Linked DNA regions of Yarrowia lipolytica. The protein of the gene in region 1 purifies or fractionates together with the protein of each later gene. This does not show direct contact. Links are inferred from orthologs where the notes say so. Each region holds a gene or a part of one and is shown on either strand. Other genes may lie near its edges.

What was found. The genes of interacting proteins can lie anywhere in the genome.
Region 2: the proteins of YALI1_C06870g (region 1) and YALI1_B29977g purify together in Saccharomyces cerevisiae (affinity purification with western blotting; 10 studies listed by BioGRID, with this or other methods). This does not show direct contact. The link is inferred for Yarrowia lipolytica from reciprocal best matches to the Saccharomyces cerevisiae genes TAF6 and SPT15.

Annotation. Positions count from the first base shown.
Region 1 is NC_090772.1:685,093-688,959, forward strand, and holds YALI1_C06870g (uncharacterized protein), read right to left. Parts: upstream 1,994-3,867; coding exon 545-1,993; downstream 1-544. Other genes in the region: YALI1_C06917g (uncharacterized protein), read right to left, coding at 3,766-3,867.
Region 2 is NC_090771.1:2,995,872-2,999,078, reverse strand, and holds YALI1_B29977g (uncharacterized protein), read right to left. Parts: upstream 1,340-3,207; coding exon 656-1,339; downstream 1-655. Other genes in the region: YALI1_B29972g (uncharacterized protein), read left to right, coding at 1,835-3,207. UniProt on the Saccharomyces cerevisiae protein: General transcription factor that functions at the core of the DNA-binding general transcription factor complex TFIID. Binding of TFIID to a promoter (with or without TATA element) is the initial step in preinitiation complex (PIC) formation.

The DNA.
Region 1 (3,867 bases):
AGCAAGATCGAAGACAGGTAACCAGAATGGGCGGGGGTCCCTTCATCAATCTCACCGAGCTGAAACAGTCACGTGCTCTATGATCGTATTTTGGCTAGATCTGGTCGACAATGTTGAAACAAGTTTAGATAACACTGTTCTCACCGTTTATAAGTCAAGAATGTACTGGTAGCTTCGTAGAGAAGACAAAAAAGCCTTCTACACAGTATCAAGGACTATGCTTTAGTTGGTATGTACAGTAGCTAGAGTCCAAATACGATTTCGACCAACTGGCTTCCTCTTACTCACATGCTGAACTACAAGTACGATATCATGAAATTACGACATTCGGGTCTACAAAACCACTAGACCATCTCATCAAGGTTATAATGCTCGTAGCACGATCATACAGTACAATCCCTAGGAACTCACAGATAGTCGTATACACCCATCCTTCATATTCCTCCACCGTGATCATATAAAAAATACATTCAGAACTATCTATACACTGGGGTCCCCCTTTTCCATGCGCGTGCAGTTCTCTCTCTTGCTCGCTATCCACCCATTACTCCACCTGCTTACCCTCGAAATCCACCAATCCATGAACAACCTGCTGTGAATCGTCCAGCTTCTCAATCAGTTCATACACCTTGTCTCCCACCAGCTCCTTGCATCGATCAATCTCCTGCTCAGTGAGCTCTTGATCGGGGTAGATGGCCTGGCCCTTGATCTGTCGCAGAGCCGAAATCAAACACTTGTTGAGCTGCTCCAGCTCCAAAGTAGAGTCCGACGACGACTTCAACAGCCGGTTGTAAAGTGTATCACTCCACAGCTTCAGGTTGCCTACAATGACCACACGAACGGCCTCATTACCAAGCGCCTGAATGCCCTGGAGAGCGCCATAGAGAGTGGGTATCGGCTTGGTGGGGTCCATGAATGCCTTGAGTAGCGTTCGGATGGCTCTGGGCTTGAGAGAAGCGTAGATCTCGTTGTATTTGTCGCAGATTCGTGCCAGAAGAGATGCAGCAAAGTCACGAATCGAGTACTGAGAAATGGTCACCTGCGAGTCCTCCACAATGTCCTCATGGCCGGGCTTGGGACCAATCTTCTTCGCGAGAATCAAAGTCAGCACAGAGGGCATCAGTGAGTGAATGTAGGGGTCCATGAACAGCGTGGGGTTAGTCAGCAGTGCGTCAATTACCTGCAGCATAGTGTAGAGCACGGGCAGGTTCTTGAGGTTATGTGTGACTTTTTCGGCCACAAACTGCACAAAGTAGGGCACCAACTGGTGGAATCCGGGGTCGTTTCGCAGAGAAGAAAGAGCAGCCGCATGTTGCTTGACCGCAGCCTCCTTCTCGTCTCCGGTAGCAGTGACAACCACTTCCGAGCCGTCCATAAGTGCACCCACCACACGGTCAAAGTACAGCTGCAGCTCCTTGGACAGCACATGTTTGACGAGAGGCTTCACCTTGACGTCCGACGAGCCGTTGATGGTGGCGATCGAGTTGTTGGTGGTCTGGGCGCCTCTCAGATCAACACTCATGGCTCTGATGTCGCTGGCCAGGGGGTTTTGTGGGATGGCAGGTTGCACTCCATCGATCGCCACCCAGTGAGCTGTCAGTGATGTGGCACGAGGCACCTTAGGCAGCGGTTGGTTGATGAGCCGTTCAAAGTCCACCTCATCGTCATCCACATAGTACAGCGTTTGTCCTGGTCCGGTGATGGCTTCTCTGTAAGACACGCTTTTTTCGTTGGCCACGCCCTCGTAGCCGTAAAGGGGCTCCACGTTGAGCGCTCGAAGAGCCTCGCCCACGTCGGAGGTCCCCAGAGTCGTTCGTTTCGAGTGTCGCATGAACTTGAGCGCCTGTTCAATCACCTCGTGGATTCGGTATTCCACGTCCATGGCAAGCGTTTTGGCCACGTCATCGGGCAGATTGGAGATGCCCAGAGTCTCGGCCACGTCTTTGACCGTGTCACTGGGAGACCACAGGGTGTGGGAAAAGTTGATGGACATGTTGTGTGGGTTGCAAGTGGTGATATTGACCTTGTGATGATGGAGGTTGGAATTAGAGTTTGGAAAGTGTTGATGGGGAGTTTGTCTTCTGCGATATCGGGGGGTTGTGAGAGCGGTATATCGACGGTAAGTAGATGGAATCAGCTAAGGAAGTTTGTGAGTTGCTCGTCAAAAGAAATATCTGTCAAAAAAGAGAATTAAAGAGTGGTTATGAGGGCGTTGTATAAGGTAGTCATGGAACCTTAATTTTTGCACGAAGAGTTGGTTTTGGGGTAGCCAAAAGTCCAGGAGTAATGGCTCCTATTGTAATATTAGACATGTATTTGACTTTCACCAGAATTAAAATACTCTCCTTTTTAATTTCATTTAAATCTGTTGAAAATGGAGCAAGAACAATGCACTCTTTCGAGCTATTGTTATACTTGAAAGTTTCAACAATAGCCTCTGAAATAGTTGAAATATTAACCTCCTGTCAAGTAAGTAGAGAGTGTCAATATCTCTTGAAATTCTGGTCATATCACATTTCTACATAGATAAATCTGTAAAACTAACTACCATTGATGTATATTTTTAGTTCCTGGATCTATAAGTCCACCACTGCCTTTTCTACACTCATTTCAAATGCCACTATCAAGGTTCAATGGGCTGCTCTATCGAAATCATCAGGTGTTTCAAACATGACGAAATCTTCATCAATTTGAATTCTGAAAAATACAGTCAGTTTTTACCACTCTTTTATTCCCATCGCACTTTTCTCTTTTTTTCTCTCACTCCTCCTCCCCCCCACAGCAACTACCCCTATTCCCCTCCACGCATGGTCATGCACTCCACTCTTAAACCCGCACATCATCACTCCACACACACTTGACGCCGACTACAACGATGGGTTCGTGTTTCAGCAAGAGCGAGCCCGCGTCCACGTCGGGCAGGACCGCAGGACGAGCACCACCAGCGGCTAAGCCTGCCAAACCAGCAAAGACGGAAAACATCCCACTCAAGAAACAACCGCCCAAACAGCCAACAAACACATACAACTCGCCAGGACACACTCTGGGAGGCACAGCCGAAACGCTGGACGCCAAGGAGGCCGCCGCACGCGCCGCAGAGGCCCGGGCCCAGGGCCAGAATAAGGGTGGCAAACTCAGTCAGCAGCTGGCCAAGGAGAAGGCTAAGAACCGGACCGAATTGATGAAGACAGAGAAAGTCGAGGAGCCATTGATTTATGATTAGTGGGCGACTCATGTGATTACTGTGATTCCCGAGATTCTGCAGTGTTGCCATTGTGTTGTCTGCGGCTACATTGTCTCCACGATGCTTTCTTGTGGAGAGATGCTCAACGACTCAACAATAACAACAAGGGGCTAGGACGACTCATGTGGATGGTTACGCGCCATCTGAGACTAGAAGGATTATATAGGAATGTATTATTTTAACGATTGGTGGGGTGCAATGGTGAAGGGTGGTGATAACGGGGTTCAGGTTGAAACATCGTTATACAACGAGAGCATGAGAAAAGATCCAGCTCCTGAGAGATCTCCAAATGAAAACTCAGCAACAGTCCAATAGTGTGTACACCATGACACCATAGCCAAGTCTGACTGAGAACTAATGGTTACTCCTTAGTTATTGTACCGTAGATACTGGAACAAGTGGAATACTTTCTGCCTCTCAACCGCTTCATTCGTCAATCGTTATAATATATACATCTTCCTACTCGTACATGGACCATTCCATACTCGGTCCTACAAAGTTTGACCCCCCCTTGGTATCGTCTACACCTGATACCTAGCGCCCTTAACCAAACCACTCACCAGAAGCTCCGACAACTCATGATGAGCCAGTTTCACCGCCCGCTCACTGGTACCCTCAATGAG
Region 2 (3,207 bases), on another chromosome or scaffold:
ATTGAAACGGGACCCCCGTCTCCGTGCCTCCTCGTTAATTGCAGCGCTGCTGACAGCGCACCTATTAAAGCTGTTTCAAGTGTGCATAAGGCTCAGCCTGGCAGTGCCACCTTCGCACCCACGAATAAGGTTTCCTTACACGCTAACACTGTAGAAAATAGACACGCTAAAACTCTGGCTTCAGGCTGTACAATGTGTATCCACAGTACTGTACAAGCACAAGTGCCAATATTAGTAAGAGTACAAGGAGTTTGATACCTACCGGTAAAAGTACACCTGTTGTAGACAGTGCTGTACTCCTACAAGTACGTCTGTACTTGTACAGCCCTTACTTACTCAGCAGATAGAGCCAACAACATGACGGCATTAAACGACAACACCACGCCTCTCTCAGAACACGTCAATCCTCCAGCTGTTCAAAAGGGAGAACACAATTCTAGCTACACTTGTACTTGTACTGTACTTGTACAGATATGAATGGGTGGTTTTTCCGTTTTTTTGTTTTTTTTTTGGATTATGTGGTTTTGGTGATATGCTATGTTAATTTTTCTTGTGAAGTACCTCTTTTACCTTGAAGCTCCCGTTAGTCCCTCGGCTTACCTCGTATCATTAGTATTTTATTTCGCCGAGAACCAGCGTCTATGCAATAAATAATCTACCCCTTTCTAAACTCGTTCAACACAGGGTAGATGGCTTCGAAGGCCGCGTAAATTTCCTCTCGCTGCTTGGCACCAGTCAGCACAATCTTACCCGACACGAAGATCAGCAACACAATCTTGGGCTTAACCATTCGGTAGATGAGACCAGGGAACAACTCAGGCTCGTACGACGAGAAAGTACCGTGTGAAAATGCAAGACCCTCAAGTCGGATAGGGAACTTGACATCGCACGAACCGACAATGTTCTGGATTTTGAAGTCAGTGAACTTGGCATTGAATCCAAGTTTCTGAATGATTCGGGCGTACTTCCGGCTGGCCAGCTTGGAGTCATCCTCGCTTCGGGCACCAGTTACGACCATCTTTCCGGATGCGAAGATCAAAGCGGTGGTCTTGGGCTCTCGAATACGCATAATGACGGCAGCGAAACGCTTGGGGTTGTACTCGGCATTTCGAGCATGCAATGCAATGGTTTTCAGATCAAGCCGACAATCCAGGTTGACGGTCGCAACAATGTTCTGTAGTGTGGGGACGATACCGGAGACACCAGAGTCGACCTGCTCTCGCTTGACCTCTCCAATCAGACTGGTGTCGGCCTCGGCATCCTGAGGGAACGAGAGATTGTTCTGGGTCACGAATTGCTGTGCCTGTGCAGGGTTGGTGGGGGCAGAGAGGGCATCCATATTGTATGTAGTGTGTATCCCAAACCCAAAGCCTAATTTTCGAAATTGGGAAATCGGGGGGACGCGGTCTTATATATATTCACGATCCTTCGGTAGGGTAAAAACCTTAAATGGTGTAGAAGACCATCGAAATTGGTTCTGTTCCTTAAAAATACATCATTCGCGGGGTTCTATTTTCTGGGAAAATAACAGAATAATGCACTCATATTTAGCCAGAACTACTTGTGTGCATTTCCTACCTCTAGAGGTCTTGTTTCGAGCCATCTGCCTCACTACACCTCTGCAGAAAAATTTCGACAGAGTTTTGGATGAAAACTTGATTACATGCCTGGAATTGGAAATATACGGTTAGGGCTGTTGAGTCTCACACCGATTACGAACTAAAAATAAAAAAAATCATTCTGGTCATGTGTGCTTGTAGGAGCGATAGCGCACATTTATGTCGCATAATATATATTTTTTAACGCACAGCTGGGTCCAAAAGTTACGAGCAAAATGGTCGGAGGGGGTTATACCTTTGTACTGCCTTGTTTATTGGTATCCACAGCACATGTCTGGTGCTCGGTAAGCCAAGGACACTGTACTTCGTTATCCAACTCTATTCATGCAAAGGAACTCCCACTGTTCTCGACCAGCATGGGGCCTCACAGCTTGTCCTTTGATCGTCCTTCCGACCTCAGCCCAGAATGTCGAGACCTGATCATCTATCTCGCTCATGAGCATCTTTTACAGGCCTCGATTGTGGCGCCTCTGGTTAAAACTCGCGAACACTTGGTACAGTACCGCCAGATGCTAGCCACAGGTATTCAGATGCTTGAGACAGTGATCCGCGACGCCAACTGCCCTCAGAGTACTCAAGCATACTCGGCATACATTCTTGCTCAGGTTCTCTTCAGCGAGACTGAGTGTCTGGACCGTGTGGTGTCTGTGCTAGGTCAGGGAATGATTCTTGCTCAACGAAGTGGCTTATCTGATCTGGTGCTACAGATGGAGTGTCTCAATGTGAGAGCTCTGTGTAAGACCAGCAGAAATGCTGCTCTCCTCCACTGCAACAAATGCCTCGATAAGTACCAGGGCATGTACGACAACTATGCATACCACACTCTCCAGTTGCTACGCTTTGATCTGACCCTTGACAACAGTTTGCCACAGGCTTTTGACATTTTCAAGTCCTGGGAGACCCTTCCAGACAGTATACCCAAGTCATTCCTGCAACTGTACGGTATTTCAAAGGCATTAGACTACAATGTTGGCAACTACGAAGAGACTCTACTCACCTTAGATCACATGAGAGCATTTGAGGAGGCTTCAGAGTGCACTGAGACAATCCCCCAGGTGGCCATGCTTCGATGCATGATGACTGTGTTGGTGGCTCTGCGTAGAGACTGTGACATCCCCGTTAAGGAGGCCAGCAAGGCGCTGGAAACGCTGCTTCGGTCCTTGAACAGAAAGGCCAGCAAGAGGGAGATGGTGTGGAAGAACTGGAACATTGATGGAACCATCAAGTTGGCCGGAGCTCGGGGAAGTACATTCAACATTCAGTGGGTCACACAAAGCCAGTGTACCCAGTATTGCTATTATCTTCTAGGACTGGCCGCACTTCGACACCACACGACTTTAAAGTATGGACGTGAACTACTAAAGGACTGCCTCAAGCTGTTGGACCGTGATCAGGAGGATATACCCAAGGAGCCTTTGCCGCGTGCCAGTATATCGCACATATCAGACAACACAGCGCAGAAGCTAGCACTCAGATGCAATGTCCATCTGTACATTGCTCTGGTGAATTTCAGTGGCTTGGCATACAAGAAGGGCCACCGTTCGTTTGAACGGTTTGTGACCCTTTCCAAGGGTCTACCTGAAGAAGC